Linked DNA regions of Callithrix jacchus. The protein of the gene in region 1 interacts with the protein of each later gene in a biochemical or structural test. Links are inferred from orthologs where the notes say so. Each region holds a gene or a part of one and is shown on either strand. Other genes may lie near its edges.

The links. The genes of interacting proteins can lie anywhere in the genome.
Region 2: the proteins of FBXW7 (region 1) and KLF5 form a complex in vitro, tested with the Homo sapiens proteins (2 studies listed by BioGRID, with this or other methods). The link is inferred for Callithrix jacchus from reciprocal best matches to the Homo sapiens genes FBXW7 and KLF5.

What each region holds. Positions count from the first base shown.
Region 1 is NC_133504.1:44,161,089-44,166,461, forward strand, and holds the start of FBXW7 (F-box/WD repeat-containing protein 7), read left to right. Parts: upstream 1-2,193; 5' UTR 2,194-3,187; exon of another isoform or gene 3,188-3,278; 5' UTR 3,279-3,354; intron 3,355-5,373. UniProt on the Homo sapiens protein: Substrate recognition component of a SCF (SKP1-CUL1-F-box protein) E3 ubiquitin-protein ligase complex which mediates the ubiquitination and subsequent proteasomal degradation of target proteins.
Region 2 is NC_133502.1:42,203,892-42,208,719, reverse strand, and holds part of KLF5 (Krueppel-like factor 5), read left to right. Parts: intron 1-319; coding exon 320-1,193; intron 1,194-2,283; coding exon 2,284-2,343; intron 2,344-4,828. UniProt on the Homo sapiens protein: Transcription factor that binds to GC box promoter elements. Activates the transcription of these genes.

The DNA of each region.
Region 1 (5,373 bases):
GTGGAACACACTTAACTGGAGGTGTTCTCTGCTGGGCTGCAGAACTCTGATGTTTCCACTCTTTTCCGTCAAAGCCCACAAAGCTTAAACTCTCTGAGGTGCTTAGCTTCACAAAATCCCCTAAATCTGTGTGTTTTACTCCTTTAATTTCCACCATTCCCCTGCTGTAATATAGGAAGAGGGGGGAAAACAAAAAATCTTTATATGGTAGCCATGTGAGACCATTACTTTTTGGTCTGATTAACTGTGAGTCTCATTTGGAAGGATGTAGCAGGGGATTGGTCATGTAAAGACAGAAAGATCCAGGGTAATTTAAGCAGGACTTTTTTTTTTTTTTTGAGACAGAGCCTTGCTCTGTCACCCAGCCTGGAGTGCAGTGGTGAGATCTCGGCTCACCGCAACCTCCGCCTCCTAGGTTCAGGTGATTCTCCTGCCTCCGGAGTAGCTGGTGTGATCTGCCCGCCTCCGCCACCGCCTCCCAAAGTGCTGGGATTACAGGCATGAGCCACCGCGCCCGGCCTTAAGCAGGATGTTTAACCTGGCTCTTGCAACTTCAGGTCAAGGGCAGTAAGGTCAGATGCTAAGTCTGTGAGACTCTCCTTGGTTTTGCCACATCCTCCTTTGCCCCTCCCACCACCTTTCCTGTAGCATTTTAATCAACAGGAGCCCTTGGATTTACCCAGTTAAAATATTCCTTAGTTTACCGTTTGCAGATGGTGGTGGCAGTAGTGGCAGAAACCCAGAGCTTCCCAAATTTGTTTATAATACACTTGCTCCTATCTCACCCCTCCTCGAGGTGGAAATACTTGTAATATCCATTACTACTGTTTTCAGAGGAGGTGGAATGTACTAGGGTCCAGCGACATAATTGTGAAATTTGCTTTCATTATTGTTGCTGCTTTAATGTCTTTCTGATACGATTGACCATTCTCATGCTATTCACTCAAGACAGATTTCTCAGGATTCGGATCCTTTTATTAAAAATTTTTTTTCCTGGAGAACTACACTTTAAACTTCATGAGTTTTTACTTGACGTTCCTTTCCAGGATAACGTCTGTAGGAAAAGCTGCACTAATAGTAATAATATTTGTTTTAGAAAGAAAATAACCTTTGAGTCAGACCTGAAACACAGGCCAACATTTCTTGATGACACTGTACACTGATGAACCAAGACGAGAAGCTCTCGAAAGCTCCAAACCGTAAGAAAGAACGATTCGTAAAAGTGTGGCACTACTAATGAAATTCTTCCCTTGAGAGTCAAAAATCCTTCCACAATCTCCCGGATGATGGTTCCCTTCCAATCCTCCCTCCCCGCCGCCCTAAAAATCTGCCCGAGGATGGGTTCCTTCCCCTGCCCAGCATTTCATCTCCTTTTCCACTGAAGACTCAGGTTGTGACTCTGTACTCAGGCCGCACCCCTGTTTCCTTTCATAGCTAGGGGGAGGGGAGGAATGTATTACAACTCATTTTTACAATGCACTGCAGTTTGAAAAGCGCTTGCACTTCCACCATATCCTATGAGCTTCGCGAGTGCCACGTGAGGAGGCATTCATTCATTCATTCATTCATCAAACATTTGCTCTGCCCGACCACACGTTATCCAGCGCTGAGTCTCACCCCACGCCACGGGAAGGGTGGGGCGCTCTCTCCCTGGGGCAGGTGCAGTGGATCAGGCCGTGGGGTAACTCCTCGATCAGTCCGGCTTTTCGAGGGCCTGTTTGGAGCCAAATGCCTCACCTTCGGGTGGTGCGCGCAGTTGCCTGAAGGCGCGGCCTGGGCCTCCTACTTCCTCCCAAAGGAGCAGTCCCACCTGCCCCGCAGGAAACCGCTACAGAGCAAGCTCTCCGGGCCGCCCTCGGGTCAGGGGTAAGATCGGGCGGCAGCTTAGGCTTGTCTCGGCTCCTCCCCTTCCTCTCTTCAGTTCTGACGCGGCCGTAGAGGCTGCAGCAGCGGCGGCGGCGGCTGCAAGTCCCGCGGCCCGAGGCGCACCCACCCGCTCGCCTATCCCCACTTCCTCTTCCCTTGGAGCGTCATCAGAGCGCGCCAGAGGCGCCCAGGGCGGGGTGGCTGGACTAGGAAAAAAGGCCCGCGGAGGAAGCCTCAGAGCGGAAAGAAGAGGGAGGGGGAGGAGAGCGGTTGCTAGGTGACTTGCGTCATCTGCAGGCGCCGCTCTCCTCCCGCCCCTCTCTCTCTAGAGTGAGGCGAGAGCCCCGCACAGAGCGAGGGAGACAGCGAACTGAGCTCCGGGCGCTGCCGCCGCCGCCGCCGCCGCCGCCGCCGAGAGTAAGAGCGAAGGAGCATCCGAGAGACTCAGCCCCTCTGCACTGGCCGCCGCTGAGACCTTCGCCCTCACCTGGGTCAGCGGGAGCCGCGGCCGCACACCTCTCCCCCCCTCACCTTCCCGGCCGGCAGCAGAGGCTGCACACGCCGGAGCCGGAGCCGGAGCCGGAGCCGGAGCCGGAGCCCGAGCCCGAGCCCGAGCCCGAGCCCGAGCCCGAGCCGGAGCCGGCGGCTTGGGGGGCAGGGAGGCGGCTACCGCGGGCCGGGACTGGGTAGCTGCTCCGCGGTGAGAGAACGCTGAGGAGGCGCCGGAGCTTCTGCCTCGTCCCGGGGCGTGGGGCGTGGGACCCCCAAGGTGTAGGGAGGGGGGTCCCAGCCGCAGCGACACATGCAGGAGCCGGGAGCGGGGGCGGCGCCGAGCGGAGCCGGCAGGGTCCCCCGCCTCGCCGCCGCCTCGGCCACCCGCCCGGGTCCGTAGCATCTTGCCCCGGAGTGTATGAGCCGGGGCCCCAACCAAGCTCTGCAACCACCCCCCCGGCCGGGGGGACTGGGACCCCGATGTGAAGCAGCGGCTGGGGCGGCGGAGAGAGCGGGACCGACGCCGCCGTCCTTTCCTCACCTTCCCCCTCCCCTCAGCCCCCTTCGGGGGTCTTCTCCCTTGGCCAGTCGCCGGCCCCCCGGCTCCTTGGCTGGACTCCGGGAGGAGTTCTTAGAGCCCCCCTCCCCCGCCCCAGCCCCCAGGGCGGCGGGGCCGGGGGGGATCCGGGGGGCCGGCCACAGCCTCCGCCCAGAGGAAACTTTATAAAAACAAAATCCAGAGCCTCCCAAACGTGACTGTCCTGGGAGAAGTGGCCCTGGACGGGCAGGAGTCGCAGCCTGAAAAGACCCAGGAAGAGGAAAAGAGGAGGTAAGCGGGGCCGCCGCCTCCTCGCCCCTGGCAGCACGGAAGAGACCCGAGTGGCCGCCTGGTTTAGCGACACGAGCCGCTTCTTCCTCAGGACCGCGCTGCCGCCTCAGTCCGAAGGAGGAAGGGAACCAGCCCACTTTCTCGGCGCCGCGGCTCTTCTCTAAAGTGTGAGTGGCCCCGTGAGAGGGAATTGAGGGGAGAAAGTGGGAGGATGCCGGCGCTTCCTCCTGGAGTTTTGCTGATGTTCCCAGGAGTGTTGGGAGTCACAAGAGGGTCTAGCTTTATTCACAGAAGGGAGAAGGTGTTAGGGAGGCCTGTATTTCGTAACTTTTTAACTCTGTACGAGTAATGCAAGTATGCAGGTTTCTCTTGGAGGAGTTCCTTCTTCAGAGTGAATACTCGCACCTTTCTGGCCAGTAATTGGCAAAGGGAAATTGAGGAAGCCAGAGGATGTGTGCGCACAGAGGCCATCTGTATCTGTAACCTTTTCCTGGTACTGTGGGTGTGTACAGTGTTCTTTTTGTTTCTGGGGTACTCTTATATAGGACCCCCGAAAGCAAAATTCCCTTTTTAAAAAAAAAAATGAAAAAACAGTCTTGGGAGATTTTCATTTAGTACCTATTGATACAGGAGTTAATCTTCTCAGTTCCTGGGTCTGTGTGTCAGGAGACACTGTAACAGATTTCACTTAGGAACTTGATTTCTTAGGAATCACAGCTTATCTGGGGAAGAGCATTTATCACATTAATCATTTTATAAAAGTGATTTTTTTCCCCTTCACCAAGTTTTTATTTTTTTTGGAGTAACATCTTAAATGACAACACTTTTTAATTTTGTTTGAGGTTTTGCTATTTTGTATTGTCTTTATTTCTGTATCAATTTAGGATACACTTTTGATATTTAATTCTTTCAGGAATGACTTTTTCCTTCCATTGTTTTAAAGTTGAAGTCTATAAAACCTTTGACTTGCATTTTAGTAATGTTCTCAAAGTACCAAATTAAAGTTTCATGGAAGTAATTAACATATCATATACAGTCCTTAAGGGTTAAACATAGAGTAGAATTTTATGTAAGCAGGCATAGACAGTACTATAGTGAGAATTGTGGTCCGTCTAGACAACTGTGTGGGCTCCTTCTGTCTGAAGCCACTGCTGAGAGTTGCTTTGTGGTAATGAATGTAAGCCTGGGGTTATCAGTCTATCTGAAGTTCTCCATTCAGGATCTTGATTAAATTTATTTAAAACTCAAACTTAACAATGTTTGGTCCTATTCTTTTAAAGTAATGAGTTCTGCAAGTTTATTAGCCTCTGTATTATGTGACAATTCATTTATAAATTCCATAGGCAATTTATTTATATATTCCATACCTGTGTCCATAAATTTTCAGGACACAGCCAGAGTTTGTGTTTCGAGAAATACCAGAACAAGCCTCAGTTCATCTTTCCTTACTTTTATAGTGTTTTATTATTTCTACCATCAGTTTCTCCAACTCTTGTCTTAGAATAATGTTTCTTATTTCTTTGACCACTTTTTCCTCCTCTGGAACTTCTCCCACTGTACTGTTTTTCTTTAGTTGCCTTACTATGTTTTGGTAAGGAACCTTAAATTCTGTCTTTTAAGTGTGTACTGACATGAAAATATTGAATAGTGGATGTAATGTTAGACTTAGAATCAGAGTCATGTATTTTGTTTTTCACAAAGATATGATAAAGAGAAATGTAGTCATGTAGAACCTGTATTTTGAGAAGGAGGGGAGGACAAACTAAGAAACAAACTGTAGTTTGAATGTAGGTTGCATTCTGTCAAAGTTGCTCACTAACTTTTGGACTACTTGTATTGCTTTAACTATAGATTGGTTAAAAATTTTGGTAATTTTATTTTATGTTATTTTGAGATGGAGTCTCTCTCTGTCACCCAGGCTCGAGTGCAGTGGTGCAGTCTTGGCTAACTGCAACCTCCACCTCCCAGGTTCAAGCGATTCTCCTGCCTCAGCGACCCCAGTAGCTGGAACTACAGGCGTACGCTACCATGTCTGGCTAGTGTTTTTGTATTTTTAGTGGAGATGGGGTTTCACCATGTCAGTCAGGCTGGTCTCAAACTCCTGACTTTTTTTTTGAGATGGTGTTTCGCTCTTGTTACCCAGGTTGGAGTACAATGGCGTGATCTCGGCTCACCGCAACCTCCGC
Region 2 (4,828 bases), on another chromosome or scaffold:
TGTACAGGGGTGATACCTTGTTATTGCATCAGAAAGGAATGTTTTCAGTTTGCTTTCTTTTTTTTCTTGATTTGCGTCTTTCACTTCTGAGGTGATTGAGGGAGCAGTTTTACCAGTTACACAGAGTTTCATAAGGTTTTGGTCAACCAATTATATTACATAATTGATTAAATAAGCCTGATATGTTTTTAAGCAACACGGAGAAGTTTGCCCTAATACCTCACACAGGGATTGGGAGAATTTTAATAGGCGCCGATTGTCCTTCCTGAGACTGTGCATCAGGTGGATTATGCATGTTTGTATCTCTTCTCTTTTTTAGACAAGATGTGAAATGGAGAAGTATCTGACACCTCAGCTTCCTCCAGTTCCTATAATTCCAGAGCATAAAAAGTATAGACGAGACAGTGCCTCAGTCGTAGACCAGTTCTTCACTGACACTGAAGGGTTACCTTACAGTATCAACATGAACGTGTTCCTCCCTGACATCACTCACCTGAGAACTGGCCTCTACAAATCCCAGAGACCCTGCGTCACACACATCAAGACAGAACCTGTTGCCATTTTCAGCCACCAGAGTGAAACGACTGCCCCTCCTCCGGCCCCAACCCAGGCCCTCCCTGAGTTCACCAGTATATTCAGCTCACACCAGACCGCAGCTCCAGAGGTGAACAATATTTTCATCAAACAAGAACTTCCTACACCAGATCTTCATCTTTCTGTCCCTCCCCAGCAGGGCCACCTGTACCAGCTACTGAATACACCGGATCTAGATATGCCCAGTTCTACAAACCAGACAGCAGCAATGGACACTCTTAATGTTTCTATGTCAGCTGCCATGGCAGGCCTTAACACACACACCTCTGCTGTTCCGCAGACTGCAGTGAAACAGTTCCAGGCCATGCCCCCTTGCACATACACAATGCCAAGTCAGTTTCTTCCACAACAGGCCACTTACTTTCCCCCGTCACCACCAAGCTCAGAGCCTGGAAGTCCAGATAGACAAGCAGAGATGCTCCAGAATTTAACCCCACCTCCATCCTATGCTGCTACAATTGCTTCTAAACTGGCAATTCACAATCCAAATTTACCCACCACCCTGCCAGTTAACTCACAAAACATCCAACCTGTCAGATACAATAGAAGGAGTAACCCTGATTTGGAGAAACGACGCATTCACTACTGCGATTACCCTGGTATGTACTCTACCTGGTTGAAGAGACAGTAGATGGGTGGGGAGAGAGAGTGTGAGTGAGTGTGTGTGTGTGTGCGCGCGCGTGCGTGCGCGCACACACGCATGCATCCTTTTCAACCTCATGGCTTTAAATTTACATAGCTAAGTTGTACTTGACAGTAAAAAAATTACCTACTTTTTTTTTTTAATATCCATCTCTGCTTTTCTTTGGTATGTAAACAAGTTAGTTGTCACTTATTTTATGTACCAAAAACTTGGCTAGAATATTCTGGAAAAAGTTCCCTTGGACTTTTTTGTCTTTAATATTAAAAGAGATTTTAATTTCTAATATATATCATTTAGAGTTAGGCCAGAGTTACTTTAAAATGGCAATCGAATAAATTGCAGGTTTTAATTCTAAATTAAATGCCCCAGAAAGAGATCAAGTAGGGTAGGGGAAAATAAGGATTAATAATGAAGTGGAGGTTGTAGCCAGCTAGCCTGATGGAGGTACAAGACTGTCTACAGGATAGATTTAAGAATGGCTTTGATGGCATGTGAGCATATGCTCAGTTTTGAATGAGATACGTGGCTCAAAGTATAAATTGATGACAGTACATGGAATATATCTACAAGTTACTGGGAAAAGCTAGTTTATAATTAATACATTGCAAGATTTATTGACTCTGATACATGATATGGCATGATGTGCTAAATGAAAAAAAACGAAGTGTGGGAGTATAGAAAATTAGAGTCATCTTGGATAATGGCTTAGCACTGTCAGCTCTAGAGCCATTAAAAACTTTTTAAAAACATATAGTAACTCTTAAATTACTGAAGTACAGTACCTACTGGATTATTAAGACACATTTTCCATTTGGCTTGGTTATCTGTATTCTTTCCTGTTAAAGTGATACATAAAACAAATCATTTTATGCTTTTAATAAGGTAATGGGGGGAGGGCTCTTTAAAACTTTTAAAACTGAAGCTTCAAATAATCTCATCTACCATGAGAGATTTCTTCTTTAAAGCCAGATTTTAAACACTGAATCATCAAATGTAAAGATTTCAAAAGGATCTCCAAAATGACACACTGTTCTCCTTTATTTCAGGTTGCACAAAAGTTTATACAAAGTCTTCTCATTTAAAAGCTCACCTGAGGACTCACACTGGTATGTAATTTTCTTGTTAATTCTGTGAGTTGTGTAAATAGTGTAAGTGGTATTCATCCTTTTAAAAGCCAACACGTGTTTGATCTCTTCTTTCTTCTGTAAACTTTTTTTTTTTAATAGCCTACCTTTTCAGCATGGGCTTGGCTCAGATTCAGTTCCATGAAAAATCTGGTTCCAGGAAAGCCAGTGATGTTCCCTCACTAAGGCCTTCTTGCCCTGTCACCACTCATAGAATTGATTACCCAAAAATGTAAACAACGATGTTTACTAATGGATTTTTAAACTAATAATGGCAGTGTTTATTGTTTTTTGTTTTTTTAAGACACGGTTTCACCATGTTGGCCAGGCTGGTCTTGAACTCCTGACTTCAGGTGATCTGCCTGCCTCAGCCTCCCAAATTGCTGAAATTACAGGCGTGAGCCACCATGCCTGGCCCATGGCAGTGTTTTGAAGGAAAGAAAAAAAAAATCTCATTTTCTTCCATAGCAAATAATTTTGCTTTGAGAAAGCCATTTTAAACTCTAAACAACTTTCCCATTTAGCATGTACTGCATAATCGCTGAAAACGTTATCTTTAGTTTCACCTCTAGGTTAAAATATCTGTGTTTAGTATGTTTTCTGTGCTTGATGAAAGGTAGGGATGAAATTGCAGAGTATTAAAATCAAGTGGTCAGAAATGGGTTACAAGCCCCAGCCCAAACTTGGCATGTTTGAGAGACTTCATCTTTATTCTAGCTTATATTTTATTCTTGTTTATATGTGGCTTTAAGTTTAACCCCTCTACTTTTGTTTTTGCTTTGTTAAATCTATAGCAATCACTTTTTTTTTTTTTGAGATGGAGTCTTACTCTGTCACCGGGCTGGAGTGCAGTGGCGCTCAACTGCAACATCCACCTCCCGGGTTTAAGCCATTCTTCTGCCTCAACCTCCCCAGTAGCTGGGATTACAGCCCACTACCACACTCAGCTAATTTTTGTATTTTTGGTAGAGATGGGGTTTCACCATGTTGGCCAGGATGGTCTTGATCTCCTAGCATTGTGATCCACCTGCCTCCCCTCCTGGCATTATAGGCATGAGCCACTGCACACCCGGCCAGAAATTTTAAGAGCTTTTAAATTTTTAAACTACATCAGAACCCATTTTAAGATGAAACAAGGTGGCATACTTTGAAGGCCCCCCAAATACTCCAAATATTTTCAAATATATAGATGGTTACTATTTGTGATTTTCTTAAAAGAGCAACCCTAAAGAAATGAACTTACATAAAGCGATTGTGTTTTTTTCCCCTCAATAAATACAGCCTTACCTAAAGTTCAGAGAATAAGTTTGCTAATAAAAGCAATGACCTAGCAAAATGTATTATTCCATCATTGCTATGGAAACCAAAGTATTCAACAGTTCTTTGAATGGGTTGTTGGATTAGTATGAGGACTTGAATCTCCCCAGGCTAGATGTTACTATGGAAATTGAGTTTTGATAAATGAAGTAGTTATCTCTAACTGCTGCATTAAAAAGTAAAAGCCTTTGAACAAAGGTCAGTGCTGAGATGGAGCCCGAAGAGGAATATGGTTGCTGACATTTTGTATGCATGTTAGGCAGCATTGCTTGATATCCCAGTGATAAACAGTACCTATTAAAATCCGATGACAGTGTGGTAGATTCCAGGGCTTTTTGAGAAACTGCTTGTAAAGAAAAGACATCTTATGTATTTATCTATGAAATAAGTGGCTGTTTTGGCCTGGGGTTTTTGCATAGAGACAAACTGATTGCATAAAAGGAAAGATCCTTCATAAGCAGCCCAAGGTAGAAATTTTTATAAACACAAATGAATTAAGCATGTAATAAAAACTCCAATGTAAAGTTTTCAAAATACACATGACAAGTGCCAGGAAAATATTCCATATAGAAATACTAAAATGTCCTTTTACAGAATATAAATGGAAATTTAAAGACATTTGAACTATTGTTTTTTTCTCTGGTGGAAGTCCTTGAAACAGAGATAGGAGGGAAGGAACACATTTTCATGGGGTTAAAGTCTCCTAATAAAAGAGTACAATTGCATATAACGATGCAATCAACTACTTATTGCAGGGATGTAGTCAAACCCATATCTGGATAGCCTTTCAACCCTTGTCAGTATAAGAATGCTTATACTTGCAATTCAGGAGCTTGACCTGCTGGCAAATACATTTAATCGTGGCTTGTCTTAACAATGCTTGTACTAATAAAAACAGACTAAAAAGAAGACCGAGGCCTGGTTTGGGTCACTTGCATCAACTTTTTCACCTGACCATAAACATTGTGGCCTTCAACAACTAATGAATGAGAACATGTAATCCAGTTTAATAAAGTTTTGTTTGATAGTCTTTCAAATGCCTTGGGGAGGGTTTGTAGCAGACTTGTTCATCTGGCTAAACCTGTTCTTGGGTAATCATAGAGCATTGAGGTTGTTTTCTCCTCATTTCTCGTTTCTAGACAATGCCTTT